Drosophila melanogaster: one gene and its partner. The protein of the gene in region 2 purifies or fractionates together with the protein of the main gene of each other region. This does not show direct contact. Each region holds a gene or a part of one and is shown on either strand. Other genes may lie near its edges. The genes, in order: CG10527 and NimB2.

Region 1 (5,088 bases), on a different chromosome or scaffold from region 2:
AAATATGATACTTTTATTATTTTAAAGCCATTTCAAAGCCAGGTGTTCAAAGAAACATAAAAAGGTTAGTTGCTGACCTAAAAACTTCACATGCTGGTTACTGACTTTAATATAGTTGATAGACTAAACCGACTCAGTTATACCCTTAATTTAAATGTAAATAGGCCAATATGATATGTTTCATTCATTTTAAAAATGAATAAAAGAAAACATGTTTTGGTATAAATATATATATATATAGCAATATGTTCCTTGTACTGCCAACATTTCAACTAACTTTGTATGAGTGTTTTATGGGTTCACTGATAATGAGATTAGGAATAGATTTTCATTGAGTGGGAGTAAATTATTTTCAATTGCCTGCTTAAACTAATCTATAGATTTCAGTCATTTCATTTCAGTCATGATTTTATTAAAAAAAAAGAATGTTTGATACTAATTTCATTGAGTACAAATGGATTAAAAGGTGATTAATGATTGCGATAGAACTGTTAGATTCACTAAAACCAAAATCCAACTAATCTTAACACACCACTTTTTTGAAAAATTAAAGCAGCTATTCAGCTTATTTTATATTTATTTCCAAGCTTAATGAATGCAAATAAGTGCCTATTTCAGATATGTTATTTTCTTAAACATATTTATTGTTTATTAACCAATTTCGTTGAACAATGTAATAAACTTTTCGACATAATATAGAGATTCTTTAACAGTTTTGAGTAGAAATGCACATATAAATAAAATAAAATTTCTGCGACCAGTTGAACTGTAAAGCGCTCAGATTAACTGATTTAAAACGTTTTGTTTCAGTGCGTTGGACATTCGATCCGTGGCTTAGTTGGTCACATAGATTTCGAACTCCTTGTAGGCCAGCTCCTCGCCGCCGTACGGAATGTAGCAGCATCCGTGGGAGGGCTGCACCTTGCCCACAGTGATAGTTCCGTCGTGGGTGGCACGGCCGATGAACAGTGGTTCGCCCTCGGCGGTCTCTCCGGCAGGCAGGGCGTTGGGCGGGATGTTTCCGGCATCCACGGGCAACCACTGGCCGCCGCCGGCGCACAGCACCTCGTATTCGGCGTGGCCGTGCTCACCACCTCCCCAGGCTACGTAGGTCACTCCGTGGGAGGGATGCAGCTTGCCGGGAATGAGGTCGCCCTCATGGCGGGCACGGGCGATGTACAGCTGCTCGCTGCTGTCGAATCCTCCCTCGAGGGCGTTGGGTGGCACCTCACCGTTGGCGGCGGGCACCCAGCATCCTGGTCCGCTTCCTGTGGGCGCGGCGAAGCCCATGACGGGAGCCGATGGAGCGGGCTCTGCAAGGAAATAGTGGCATTTGTTAGAAATTCATGAAATCATTAGCAAATCTTATACATATATGTATATATAATAGGCAAATACATATTTATAGCAAGGATATAGTCTTGGAGAGCAATTAAGTGTTATTGATCAGTACTCAATAGTACCAACTCTACGAGTAGCGGGTATAGTAATACTCGATATTCAAACTGAAGCAGCTGACTAGACAATAGATGCCATTGAGCAGCTGTAGAACAATAGCTAACTTAGATCATTACGATGGGTAAACTAATCAGAGAGGGTAAACACCTGTGCTTTCCGTTTGATAGAAAAGGCGTGGAACAGAGTGTAAACTCACCATCAATCAGCCAGGTGCCGCTGGCACCCCATCCCGTGCAGATGCCGACGAAGTTGACCGGGAACAGGCTACCAGCATCGTAGGAAAGGAAGGCGGCGGCGTCTCCTTCGCGGCCAACGGTGATGACATTGTCGTACCAGCGCACCCAGAAGCCACGGAACTCTCCGGCATCTAGGATGCCCGGAGTGGGCACCTCAGCGACTTCGGGCTTCTGGCGGTCCTTGCGGATCACCGACTTGGTGTTCTCCCATCCTCCCAGAAAGATCTCGAAAATGGGACCGTTCTCCTCGGGCGCGGGTGTGAGTGCCAAATGAGCATCCTTGGGGGAACGCACCTTGAAGGTAAAAACTCCACCGCTGGCGGGGAAGAATTGGTACTCCAACTTATCGGGGGTGTTGACTTCTGCAAATGAGATGGCATATTAGTACAAATTCTCAGAGGCAACTGTACACTCGGCTACGTTTTTCTGAGCCAACTGTACCCACTACTACTTTGAAAGGTGGGAAAGTTTTGAGGTTTGAATTAACAACCTCAAACATGAGAATGTTGTCATAAAAAATACTTGAACTGGAAAGAATTCGTAGCTATTTTTATGTTTGTTAGGTTTCTACGTACATATAAACATACATATATCAGCATGTTTAGCGTCTGTTTTTGTTTTCGCTTGCTTATTAGCACCATTCGCATGATGTCATTTAGATCGCCATCAGTTCTTCGCAACAAATTGTTCTAGCTAATTCCACTCAAGCTTAATTTCGAGTTTTGAGCTCTGAGCCGGCTCTACTGCCACTCGAGCGACAAACATTTGCCCAGATATATGCGAGGTTTGTGCTATTCACTTTGAATAGATTACACGAATGGTTTCTCAAGCAGCATTATTTCGCATGACATCATTGGAGGTGCATCTTTCGTCTGACCTCCCTAGGGTCAACCCTGCTGAATTCCTATTGATTATTGTCGGAGTTCAAGGCGAAGACCAGTGACTCATCGCATATGGTGAACAATTTCGGACACCTTTGGTCGAGAATCAATTCGATGGGTCATAAATTAGGCCAAATAAAGGCAGTCCAATATGTATAGCATATTGCCGTTAATTGAATCTGGACGATCACAAGGTGAAAGTCGCTTGTATTTTTCACTGGTAAAAACCCAGCATAGATAAAGAATGGGATGTTTCGATTCTAGGAATTGGACGACACAATGCTATTTTGGTCGTGGGCCAAAAATTCCGCCGCACATTTCCCTATCTTTAAATTCACCCAATTATCCATTCCATTATCCAACTGCTCAGGGCACTCCACCCACACCCACTGGGAAACTCACCGATTGGCATGATTGCTGTTTCAATCAACGATGTTCGCTTACTGAGATTCTGATTCAAACTGCCCCAATGGAGCCCAAATGCCGGCGAGGTAAGCAATGCTAAAAAACCGAGACGGTGAGAGAGTAAAAGCTCCAAGAGCTTTGGCGCTCTCACTTGCAAAGTGGGAGATCGTTGGCCATATAGAAAGTATTCGAACTGTACCAGCTCGAATAGCTAACTTATTCACATAGCGGTATACTGCACATGCTAAGGCTTATCTTTAATTATTTTAAAGGCAATTATTTTTCTTAAATGTAAATCTTAATTAAAGGCTGATAATTTCTAGCATAATGGCATAGCTTTAAAAAAAATTTCTTTACTTACAAATGTACATATAACTATTTTGTACATGGGCACAATATTAGATAATTGTAATTTCCTTTTTAACTTTTTGTTCCCTGGACTTTCACCTCGTGGTAAGGGCATGTAAGCTTCGGTATAACTAAGGTAGTTTTGTCACCTAGTTTTGCTTAAGAGGTCTATGACTCAGGTTGGCAAAAGCTGCTGCTTAGTCATCAGAACCATAAGCAAGCTTTTATTGCTAAAATGCTTTTTCTATGGGCATGATAATTTTCATATCGCTATGCGAATAAATATTTACTATTTACTACTGTATGCAAGGTGTACAATTAGTATGCAAGGCACTTAATGATGTGACCTATTCCAAAAAAGGAAGGCCCTAAAAAAATCTATTAAATAATGAGCTATAAATTGGTTAAAAGAATTGGTTGATCTTAAAATAATGAATTTCTTGAGTATAAGAGACTTACTTCTATACTCTATGATGTTCCAATGCTTCTAAAATATATGATTAACTTTCATTTCAGCTAGGGTACATTCTATTCGATCAACTTGTGTTTCGCCTTCGTTTGCCGTTAGTAGTGTCGTCACTTATTTTGGCGTCATGTGCCGCTTTTATATTGTGCGGTCACATGGATATCCAAACCAGGGCATCAAAAGCTACTGTCAATGATTTCACCGCAAGGGTCCAAAATGGTTGATGCTGACATAATGTGCTAGACTCTAGACAACAATAATAATAAGATTACCCATTGGGTCATCATTTATTTATTGCGCTGCCGAAGTAGATTTAAAAAAGTATAGTTGCAGCATATGGTAGCATACTTTTGGGGTCACCCTCTAATTGAGTGCCAAATGGTAAGACTGTTTTTTTTTACCATGCTTTTTTATCCGTCCTGTGACGGAAGCGGGATTATCTTTCTTTACGTCACCACTGCTTATTTCTTGGCCTCTCAATGTCAGTCGGTTTTCTTTCGTCTCGCCGGTTGGTCGCACTTTTTTTTACATTTATATCGAAACAACGTGCATGCGCAGAAATCCCCACGAAGTAATATTGTCTAAAATAAACAAATTGTTATTTGTGTTCCCAGCTGCCGGTGGCCGTGCCAAATTGTCTTGTGATAAGAGTAGATCAATTGCTCACGCCGTGCAACTTGGTGTATTTATAACGGAGACAGCTGAACACACAGCCAAAAATATATAAACATACATACACACATACTGTGCACGACGACAGACGAGTAAACAAACAATGCACTGCTCAGGAAAGGACTTAATTTGTTCTTAACTGTGGCGTAGTACTAGATCATTTTACAAAGAGGTTACACTCGTGTTGTTTGGGTCAGTTCAGTAGAAGCATGGAAAATGGCTTCTTAAATATTTTTAAAGGCTCTAGGCGAAACATTGTTGTAGTTTGTTCTTTGTTTCGTTTGTTATGAGTCAGGCGTCTGAAGTTTAACCTTAATAAGTATAAAACGCATGCCGTCAAAATATTTCATCATTTATATCTAATCTTTCAGATAACTTTTCAACAGAATGCACTTTTCCCATTGACGAGCCCCCAAAAATTCTGCTCAGATAAACTGGCGAAACAAGTTTAATCTGTTTACACTTTCCCATTTAGTTTTATTGCTCAGTTTGCATAACACAGTGACCTCTGGAATGCTGGGCCATCAATTGCCATGCTTGCCATTCAATTAAGAGATATTTTCATTGGTGAAATACATTAACTCGATTCAATTAACATTTCCGCTGGCGGCTTTTGCGACAT
Region 2 (4,707 bases):
GAGGGAGTCCGCCGCCCTGGGATGCCAACCGATTTGTATTCCGGACTGCGGATACGGTCACTGCGTGCGGCCCAACGAATGCGAGTGCTTCCCCGGATTCCAAAAACGCAAGAACGGCATCACCTGCGAAGGCGATTGCTATATGTGAGTGTTAGAACTAGACGCCTCTCCTTTTACATTTAATAATTTAATAAATTTCTTTCAGGACCTGCGAGAATGGCTTCTGTGCAAACAAAACGACGTGCGTGTGTCAGAACGGATATCGATACGATAAGAATACGACGACCTGTCTGCCGGATTGCGGGGACAACTGCGATAATGGGGTGTGCATCTCGCCGGGCAACTGCCGCTGCTTCAAGGGCTACGTCCGGAATCGGGAGCGATGCGAGGCGGTCTGCGTGGGTGGATGTGGTTTTTACGGCAAATGCATCGCACCGAATGTGTGCGGATGCGCCATAGTCCCGGGTCCGGAACGCACCTACCAGCGTTGCGAGTACGGATTGTGCAACGCCATGGGAAGATGCCGCTGCCAGGTGGGCATGACGCGATTCATCGATCGCTGCATGTCGCCGGACACGGTCACCACATACGCCTCTATGAATCCCGTCAAGGTGAACGCATCGCTCATCCAGGAATTCAATCTTCTGCTGGGCAGGCACTTCAACTTGACCACACTCAGCGATATGTGGTGGTTGTGAGTTCGGAGCTCTCACTTTTCCAGCATCACTGAGCAGTCTCTAATAAATATTCATGCATTTCCCAAGACGTTGTGTTCTTATCAGGGGTGTCTGAAATATCTTGTGGCTTCATCTCTTGGGATTTCGCTTTTTTGAAGCAAGTCTAGCTTAAATTGTAAACGTACGTCGAAGATTTGGTACCCTCTCGAAAGTTGTTTCATTTGAATAGGTATTTATTATTTGGTATATCACTTATTTTCTGCATAGTCAACATACCCCACGAATACCGGGTACTGAACACATAATTATCTTCCTAGGAATATAGAACATTTCTATCTCCGTACACTTAAATGCCGCGCTTGACACAGACGACAATTTAGTAGCTCCGAGACACTGGCGAGCATTGCGCTCGCATTTTGATACGACCTCGCCTTCAGCTGAATCCGAGCGAAATGCACTTGACATCCACGCTGATTGGACTCCTTATCTGCGGTCTGGGGATCGAGCTGCCCACGCGCACTGCCGCACAATTCTGGTCGGTGGATCCTGTTACGCAGTGGCGAAAAGAGGCTCTGGCCGAGAGGGGATCCGGCATCTGTTACAGGACGCTCACGTAGGTAAACCATTCCGCACGCCTGACCGAATTTCAAGATCAATTCCCACTCCCAGCGTGGAAACCATCAATCCCAACTCCAGAAATCGTCAGTTCTCCTACTGCTGCGATGGTTATGTGAATAAGGGAACAAGCCAGAACCTGAAGTGCGAGCCCATTTGCTCGGAGGACTGCTCCAATGGATTGTGCCTGGCGCCCGAGGAGTGCGAGTGTGCTCCGGGTTACTATCGGAGTAACAAAAGGTGTCGTTTTGTCTTGGAATAACAAAAATAAATAATATCAATTACAATATTTTTTGAGTTGCTTACTTTATCATTATTTGATCAATACTTCTACTATTTGAAATATTATTAACCTGTTTTTTACGACCATTCATGATTACATAGAAACGTTAAATTTTTTTTTTGAAAAAACCTTCATAAGTTTTAAAGGTTCATCATTTTTATGTTCTGTGCCTTTAAATCTGATATTTCATCAAGAAATAATCTCTATACCTGAAGTCATCGTTGTACGCAAACTTTTCTTGGAATTACCCAAAAGCAATGAGTTTTGTTTACGACTCACAATTTATGGCAATGATCGATTTGCTTTGCCCGAAGCTACTGAGAGCAAACCTTCGCTCCGTTTGCCACATTGATGGGTACATTGGCGAGGTGCTGATTAGAAGGGGGACAAGAGGTTGCCGGAGGCGAATGGCGGCTCAGAGATCCGGAGCTTCGCATCGGGAGCCGATTAGTCGATGTGCAACTACAGTCGCCAGCGGACGTGGACGTGGGCGCATAATCAATTTCCATACGTACGAAATCCGTAATCAAGTGACATCACCATGAGGTCATCATCGTGCCAGCTGGTGACTCTGGGCGTTCTGCTGGCCATCTGTTCCCTGGGTCAGGGACAATTCAAGACGGCTGGCATCAAGACACGGCAGCCGCCATCGGGAAACCTGCAGCTTGCCGGCAATAGCAGTGAGTCGGGATGGAGGAGCTACAACCAGAGCAGCTACGGTTGGAGCACTCAAAACCAGAGCAACTACGCCTGGAACCAGCAGAACCATGTGGAACAGGGATCCGCTGGATTTGTGCGCGCCGAGGTCTTTCAACCGGTCACATTGCCGCCCCTTTATGGACACTACGTGCAGCCGGTGACTCCGCCCGCTCATCGTGTCCAGGTCCTGGATGAAACGGCCCTGTTCATCAACAAAACCAGATCTGCCATGGCCAGTGGTGTGTGCTACAAGGAAGTTCCGTAAGTGATGGGTTAATTTCGGACAAAAAATACTAACAATCGAGAGGAAAACACTTTTATAATTCCACTTAAAGCTATCGCCCAATTCGGAAGGCATTCGAAAACAAGGCAAGCCATAAAAATAGTGAACTAACGACCTCAACTTCCTCCGCTGGCCTGATAATTAAAATGCGCCTTGATTTCACGAGTATATGTGTGCCAAGCTAATAATGTGAATGAATTTAATATGCAACGAGCGGAAAGTCAGTAGATAAGCGAAAAGTTTTTAAATTTAGTTGAATTGACTAGTTTCATTTGCATTCTCTTGGACAATATGTAGTTTAAAACTTTAAAGGACAAAATTATTTTTCAATTTTGACACACATCTTTACTAAGGTATTATTTAGACATGTTGATTATCTGTTTTATTAGTTTCCCTAGGAAAAATATATGTCATTGCATTCATGATTTTAAGTTGTTTAAGTAAACCTAATGTTTTCCTTGTTTATATCCAGAACCGCGTCACTGCTCCGCAATTCGCGGGATCAGTTCGTTGGCAATGGCACCACTCCGGACATGAGTCGCATCCAAGTCTGCTGCGATGGCTATGAGCGAAATCCGCACATCTACCGCCGCTGTGAGCCGATCTGCGCGGATGACTGCCGGAATGGAATATGCACTGCTCCGAATACCTGTGTCTGCATACCCGGCCACGTTCGCACCGCCGAGGGCAAGTGCATCTCCACCTGTCCCCTGGGCTGCGGCAACGGAGTGTGCGACGAGCGGAATGAGTGCAAGTGCCGCGAGGGATACTCGCTTGAGCCGGAGACTCGTAAGTACTGCCAGCCGGAATGCAAGCCCGGCTGCTCCTTTGGACGCTGTGTGGCGCCCAACAAGTGCGCCTGCCTCGACGGATACCGCCTGGCCGCCGATGGATCCTGCGAACCAGTGTGCGACAGTTGCGAGAATGGCAAGTGCACGGCTCCAGGACACTGCAACTGCAACGCAGGCTACCTAAAGCTCCAAGGACGCTGCGAACCCATTTGCTCCATGTAAGTGTGGCCTTTAAAAAACAATGAAATCTGCTTGCGATGTATAGTTTAGATAATTTAATTATTTCCCTATTTCAGACCCTGCAAGAACGGACGCTGCATTGGACCGGACATCTGTGAGTGCGCTTCCGGTTTCGAGTGGGACCGGAAGTCGGCCGAGTGTCTGCCGAAGTGTGACCTTCCGTGCTTGAACGGCGTCTGTGTGGGCAACAACCAGTGCGACTGCAAGACCGGATATGTGAGGGACGAGCACCAGCGGAACATCTGCCAGCCACACTGCCCGCAGGGATGCCAGAACGGTTACTGCAGTGCCCCAAACTTCTGCATCTGCAGGCCGGGATTCATCAAGAGCGGCATCAAGGGACGCCAGACCTGCCAGGCCGTCTAACTTAGACTTTCGCACTTTATTGTTTCGTCTTGGATCAGAAATTAAATAGACGCCCTATCAGGGCATTAAACTCATAAGCAAGTTGGCGATTGAAGTGCTTTCTCTTTTCGCTAGTGTTGAGATGCTGACTGAGGCGGTCCGCCTTCAAACAGCGATCGATGAAGTGGGTTTCCCCCGATGGGCAACTGCAGTGCTCGATATCGTCACAGCTTCCGTTCCGGCAATGCTGTTGACCCTCACCACAGCCGCAGATTTCGGGAGCCACACAACGCCCGTATTTGCCGCAGAATCTGCTGAATAAGCGGAACTTCATGAAGGTGAACACAGCTTTTGCTCCGGGTAACAGACCTCTCACACTTTGGCCGACACTCGGCACCGTGGACCTCGTATCCTCGGAAGCAGCGGCACACTCCGGGCGCAATGCACACCCCATTTCCTTGGCCACAGTTGTCGCTGCACTCCGGCAAACAGCTGGTGGTGTTCACGTCGTAGCGATATCCTTCGCGGCAGTGACACTTGTACCGCGACTCACAGAGCCCATTCTCGCAGTTCCTGGAAGCGATAAGCAAATGGCTTAAATTGGCGGACAAATTTAAGATACTTTAGATAAAGATATATCGATACTCTTACAGGTAGCACTCAGCTTCGCATACATTCCAATTGGGCCGTTTAATGAACCCGGCGAAGCACTCGCACTGGTTGGGCGCCACGCACTTGCCAAATCCGCAGTCCGGAGCACAAACCGGTTGGCAT

The links.
Region 1: the proteins of NimB2 (region 2) and CG10527 purify together in Drosophila melanogaster (affinity purification with mass spectrometry, with the first as the bait; one large-scale study listed by BioGRID). This does not show direct contact.

What each region holds. Positions count from the first base shown.
Region 1 is NT_033778.4:21,069,748-21,074,835, forward strand, and holds CG10527 (uncharacterized protein), read right to left. Parts: upstream 3,043-5,088; 5' UTR 2,988-3,042; coding exon 2,978-2,987; intron 2,149-2,977; exon of another isoform or gene 2,057-2,148; coding exon 1,655-2,056; exon of another isoform or gene 1,314-1,654; coding exon 835-1,313; 3' UTR 621-834; downstream 1-620.
Region 2 is NT_033779.5:13,964,334-13,969,040, reverse strand, and holds NimB2 (nimrod B2), read left to right. Parts: upstream 1-2,022; 5' UTR 2,023-2,116; coding exon 2,117-2,535; intron 2,536-3,029; coding exon 3,030-3,566; intron 3,567-3,644; coding exon 3,645-3,954; 3' UTR 3,955-3,988; downstream 3,989-4,707. Other genes in the region: NimB4 (nimrod B4), read left to right, coding at 1-144, 206-698; NimB3 (nimrod B3), read left to right, coding at 1,130-1,290, 1,347-1,554; NimB1 (nimrod B1), read right to left, coding at 3,989-4,247, 4,303-4,506, 4,585-4,707.